2 linked regions of the Rattus norvegicus genome follow. The main gene of each other region encodes a partner of the protein of the gene in region 2 in a complex. Links are inferred from orthologs where the notes say so. Each region holds a gene or a part of one and is shown on either strand. Other genes may lie near its edges.

What was found. The genes of interacting proteins can lie anywhere in the genome.
Region 1: Arhgef6 (region 2) and Dcp1a share a complex: the UniProt entries of both Homo sapiens proteins name them as parts of the cytoplasmic complex. The link is inferred for Rattus norvegicus from reciprocal best matches to the Homo sapiens genes ARHGEF6 and DCP1A.

The regions. Positions count from the first base shown.
Region 1 is NC_086034.1:5,662,596-5,666,309, reverse strand, and holds the start of Dcp1a (mRNA-decapping enzyme 1A), read right to left. Parts: upstream 2,874-3,714; 5' UTR 2,849-2,873; coding exon 2,714-2,848; intron 642-2,713; coding exon 601-641; intron 1-600. UniProt on the Homo sapiens protein: Necessary for the degradation of mRNAs, both in normal mRNA turnover and in nonsense-mediated mRNA decay. Removes the 7-methyl guanine cap structure from mRNA molecules, yielding a 5'-phosphorylated mRNA fragment and 7m-GDP.
Region 2 is NC_086039.1:140,184,271-140,186,595, forward strand, and holds part of Arhgef6 (rho guanine nucleotide exchange factor 6), read right to left. Parts: intron 1,925-2,325; coding exon 1,870-1,924; intron 639-1,869; coding exon 498-638; 3' UTR 1-497. UniProt on the Homo sapiens protein: Acts as a RAC1 guanine nucleotide exchange factor (GEF).

The sequences.
Region 1 (3,714 bases), on a different chromosome or scaffold from region 2:
GTCAACCTTTACAAACCAACCATTTAAAGAATTAATTTTCGGGGCTGGAGAGATGGCTTAGTGGTTAGGAGCACTAACTGCTCTTCCAGAGGCCCTGTGTTCAAATCCCAGGGTGAACTCATGGTGGCTCACAACCATCTGTAATGGGATCTGATGCCCACTTCTGGTGTGTCTGAAGACAGTTACAGTGTACTCCTATATAATAAATAAATCTTTAAAAAAAAGAATTTTCAGAGAAGTTTAAAGTAAAATGTATATGAATTAGGAATGACCTAGAACTTTGGGAAGAGGCAGGAAAGGGGCAGAACCAGCCACAGAAGGCAAATTCTCATCAGAAACTACAGACCGGCAAGAGTGCTATCTCAATCACTTTATAGCTACTGTACTATACTATATTCGCAGACATTCGTACGTATGCATTCTTTTTAACATGGGAAGAAGAGCAGCAGCTGTAGTAGGACTGTAGTGCTTGGGTGGGGGAAAACTGGAAGAAGATAAACAGGAAGGCTCCAAAGCTACATACACGATAGAAACGGACCACGCTCCACCACAGCGATCACCACCATTCAAGTGAAGTAGAAACATCCTTAAGCCACTTACCTTCGGTATACAAATAATGTCCCTTCTATATCAGTCTTCTCCTGTAACAGACAACGACTCTGTCAGTTTTCCAGGAATAATCCAAGGTCAAATGATCTTGGTGAAGCACCTACACGTTCAGGCCAACTTGTCTTATTTACTGTGAAATCGATCGTGTATGTGCTCAAGGGAATGCACGCTGGCATTTGTGTACAACTGGAGAGGCCATCGGTCACTCTCAGGCGTCATTCCTTCTTTTGAGTCAGGGGGTCTCACTGGCCAGAAGATGGGCAATTTAGCTGCACTTCCTGGTCAGTGAGCTCCAGTGTTGTGTCATAAGCGCCTCCATGTCCCCAGAGGACACGTAAGTGCAAGCTACTACGTCCAGCTTTCTGTGTGAATACTTCAGGTTCTCAAGCTGGGGAGGCAAGCACTTCATCCACTGAGCTGTCTCTTTAGCCTCCAAATTAGTCACGTTTGAACAGGTAAAGCAATTCACTTTTTAAAAGAAATCTAAACAAATTATGTATCTGTTCACCCCTGTGTTTATGTATGTCCAACCCAACAATATGTGTACATCTGTAGCACATGTCTATTTTTGCCAGTGAGGAACATTTAAAGGGAAAAAAAAAGCGATTTAGCTTTACTTATTTTATGTATTAAATTTTTTTTTCAATTAGAAAAGATGTAGGGCTCTTTTGTCAGCATACGTATTTCTTTGTAACACATGTATGTGTGTACGTGGAGCTTAGAGAGGGCACTGGACGTCTTGGAACTGGAGTTACAGATGGGTCTGAACCATCATGGGGATGCTGGAAATTGAGGCAGGTCCTTGGGAAGAGCACCAAATGCTCTTAGCTACTACTGAGCCATTTCTCTGCCCCAGCTTCTCTCTGCAAACACTAAAACCTTTCAACTAGGTATCTTAATACTCCAGTCAAGGTATTGTCTACTGCAACTTAAAAAACCAAAAACTTGGAAAAAAAAACCAAAAACCAAACCAAACCAAACTTGAGCAGTCTATTGAGGTTTATAGAAAAAGAATGGAAACTTTCTTCAAAAGGGATACCAGGTTGAACTCAGAGCCTGGGCCTCATGATGCACAGCTGTGTAGCACTGAGCTAAATCCCTAACCCTCGGGACGTTTTCTTCTAAGATACTGTTTCATTTCTGGAGAATTTAGGACTATTTTCACGAGTTACACATTTTGTGGTGACCAAACACAATTTAATATTTTCAGAACTTTGTTAAGACTCGTGGATAGAAACCATTCTCTGCCTTAGACAAATGTGGTAGGTTTTTAAAATAAACGCCTGAAAATGTGATTAAGAAACTGTAACTTGGGTTGGGTATATAGCCCAGTGGTAGAGGAACAGTACAGTGTCTGCCTAGCATCAGGAGGAAATAGGACATCATGTAAATAGGTGCTTCAAGTTGAGGTTAACTAAAGTCAGTGAATGTAATTTCTGGAACTCCATGCCACTCACAAAATCCAAAAAGAACTAAGAAGTGAGCGATCAAACGTCCTATCACCGGTCTCTTTTTTTTTTTTTTTTCTTGTAAAAACGTCTCCAAGGAATCCAATTCTTACTGAAGTAGCCTTGAAATCTTTCTTTAAACTCCGGTGATACCAGTTCTGCTAAAGCTGGACTAACTCCTGAGACTGATTTTTAAGCTTCAAATCCAAATCATCACATTTAGGTCGGCAGGGAAAGAGGAGTGGATTTTGCAATCAAGAACACGTGATTTATCTAATAGTTTTCAAAGTCTCAAACACAGGTTTTCAATCACTTGTTAGAAAAAAAAATTAACTTGTCTCATATCCTGCCAATGCAACCTCAAGTCTCCAGAACCGACCCCAAAAAGACTGATCCTGCCTCATTCCTGTCCTCCATCTGATTTCCCTGTTATGTCTCTGGTGTACTCCTACCCTTCATTCCTCCAATTCCGCGTGTCCCTCCCCTTTCCCCCGTCATCTCTTCGGCTCTGGAAGGACCTTTGGGAGAGGTTCGGGCCTCGCCTTTGCGGTCCTACTCTGCTCCACACCCCACCCCCAATCCTAAGCTGTCTGCGCGGTCCCTTTAAGAGGCGGCAGCGGCCAGGCTGGCGTTCTCCACGGCTGGGCCTCACTCACCCACTGGTTGGCTTTGGGGCAGAAAGTGTACAAGGCGACCTGGCCCGTGAGGTCTGCGATGCTGGTGATGTAGGGGTCGTGTTGTTTCAAGGCCGCCAGACTCATCTCTTGCTCAGCTCGACTCAACAACTCCATCTTGGATCTCCAGGCCGAGCCCCTCGGGCGGGGGCGGACTGGAGAACAGGAAAGTGCCATCCAGGCAAAGTTCCCCCAGCTCAGTCAGCCGTCCACTTCCGCCTATCCGACCTGCCTTGCCGAGGGTGGTACTTCAGTTAATCTGATCCGCCGCTCCTATGCCCTGGGAGCCTGGTTCCGATCTTTTTAGGTCTGCGGCTGCCGGAAGGTACAGGCGTCCGCGCCTGCGCGGTGGAGCTTCGGCGAGCCGACATTCCGGAGTCCTCCTCTCTCACCTGGCGGGATCTGAACTTGTTCCTTGAGTGCTCCAGACTCCTGCCAGTGAGACCGCAGCCCAGCACATACCCTGAATCGAAATGCTTGCTGCTGTGGAAGTGAGGTTTTCATGGACCATTGAGAAAACTCAGACCAAGTGAGGAAAGGGAGCTGTACTTTACTTCCGAGCTGCACTTTCACTCTTAACTGTTTGGTAATTTTTGAAAGAAATGTTTCAAAGCAGCCAAACTAGCCTGCCTGGAACTACACTGTACTCGGCTTCCCCTCTTTGGCTTGTCTTTTCCTTCATCTGGGTCCTAAATAAATATTTCTGTTGTTCTAGAAAGACCTATTACGGGGTTGGGGATTTAGCTCAGCGGTAGAGCGCTTGCCTAGCGAGCACAAGGCCCTGGGTTCGGTCCCCAGCTCCGAAAAAAAGAAAAAAAAAGCAATATAGAAAGACCTATTACTTAAATAATAAGTAGATCTCTTAAAAAGCCAACATTATTGGGCATCCTAAGGGGTCAGGTACTACAAAGTAAAACAACGTGCTCAGCCTATTTTCATTGAGCTGCTTTAAAAACCATCGTTTTTCTTTATTGAGGACATCT
Region 2 (2,325 bases):
AGCTCCTACCACACTGACCTTAAATGGCCACCAGCACAAAGGGTATAAGGGCACTACACTGTTCCTGATCTTAACAGACAACATGGGCAATAAATTTTTACAGTACTGAAAGGGGCCGTATGACAGTCAGGGGAGGTGCAGCTGGGTCACTGGGCAAAGGTGTTCATTTTCACCTACTCTAAACAAAGCCTGAGAAGCTTAGCCTCCAGCAGATTAGGTAGTTAAGGGCTGTTGGGCAGAGCAAAATATCGGGGCCATTTTTACCACCACCTCAGGCTATTTCCCCTGTTAAAACAAGTGTCAATCAACTGATAACCAAGCAACAAACACTGAATCAAACAGCAGGGGTGGGAGGAGGGGGAGGGGGTAGGAGAGGAGGGAAGAAGAGAGAAAGAATCCCAACACCACAAAGCACAAAGCTTAAGTGCACAGTTATATCATTCAGCTGGCCATTTTAACATGTGCTGAAGGCACTGTGCTCCCCTGCACAGTGATGGTTACTGAAGAATCGAGGTCTTGCTGCTGGATTCAGCGCGAATGCATTCATCGGTTTGCTTCAACAGCTTCCGGACCAGTTTTTCTAGGTCCTTCCTCGACTTCAATTCTTCTTCCAGACATTGCTTCATTTTTTTATTCTCCTAGAAGGGAAAAGAGTTATTAATCACTGAGCCAAGGCAGCCCTTCTCAGGGGTTCTTCCCCCCCCCTCTTCCTCCTCCCCTCCCCCTCCCCCTTCTCTTCATGGCATCCCTCACTCTGACTACATATTCTGAGAGCAGGCTGTCTCTTGGTTCTCTGCCTATGTGTAAGCAGCCTCCCACACTCTTCACTTTAATCCAAGTGTTCCCACAGTCTGAACCTGCCCCACAGACAGCTTGCTCCACACTTTTTTATTTAGGATCCCCCCCCCCCTTTTTTTTGATACAAGCGTGTACTAAGAGGCTGCCAAATATCTCTAGTGCCAACTTCATCTTATGAGTATCAGATCCACAGGATCATGTCAGGGGCAGGTCCATCTAGAGAGATGATTCCATTCTAAAGGGAACTTAGTATCACCTCCCCCATTGCCTGAAACCTCTTCCAGTGCTTCTGCATCGCTGAAAGTTTGCCCACCATAGTACATTACATAACCATGGGGAGAAGCTTCTCTAATGTCTGTTCTCTCCGAATCCCAGCACTGCGCCATCATATGTCATAAGTTTCAACTCTGCAATGCCTCTACTCCTCCTGGCCTCACTGGCCGGCCTCAGCTCACGACTAAACCAGGGCTCATCCAGAATTTGCTAAGTATTCCACAAGTGCTGCTGAAGGCTCTCAACTCCCCTCTCACTGTGCGTCCCCTTCCTACAGGTACACTAAGTCTTATCATATAGGGTGTGTGTATGTCATGGAGCATGGGACTACATTACCCATAAATTTATAAACCACCACAGACAATTCTCTTTTCTGTCTTTCCTTCCTATCTTCTTTCTTCCTCTTTTATCTCTCTTTCATTATTCCTTTTCTTTTGTTTTCATGACAAGGTCTTGCTACACCAGGCTAGCAAATACATGATACCCTTGCCTCAACCTTCCTAGTGGCTAGGATTGTAGACAGGCACTGCCATACCTGAGCTTGCTTACAGTTTTTTAAGATGTGAAGAAACAAGAAAGCAATATGTAAGTTTGGGACTCTGCTGCATATATATAAATAGAAAGGCTCAGAAATTCAAGGCCACGTGGTAAAAGAAATAAAACCTACCTGCTACTGCAAAGAAAATACTAACTCTCCCTTAGTACCTGCTCCTGAGCTCCTCCTGAAACCACCTCCCAGTGGCCAACAAGACAGAGCTGGTCTGTCATCTGAGAAGATAACTTTTGGTACTGCATTACCTGCTTCAATTCCTTGACCTCATCCTTCAAGGCATAGACAGTATCAACAAGGCTCCTAAAATATACAGAGAAAATTCATAAATGAATGGTGGGTACTGAAGTGCTGATAAATAAGCAACCTACAACTCTCTATAAATACAGAGATGGAAATATCTGTGGGGTTTCAACCTAATGACGAGTGTCCCTACTCCGGATGGTCCACGTTCTTTCTCTCCATAGGAACAAAGCTCTCATCACACATGCCCACGTCTATACCATGTTACAGCCTCACTTCTATACCTGCTGCTCTTCACACGTCCAGTTTGTGTGGCCAGGAAACAACAGGTAAAAACCATTGTTTTTCAATTAGAGGATATAATTGACAAATTAAAAACTATTTAAGTTAGACAGCATGATGCTTCAATGTGTTTGTCCTATGAAATTATGCCATAAATAGAGTTATTTTCACAGCCATCA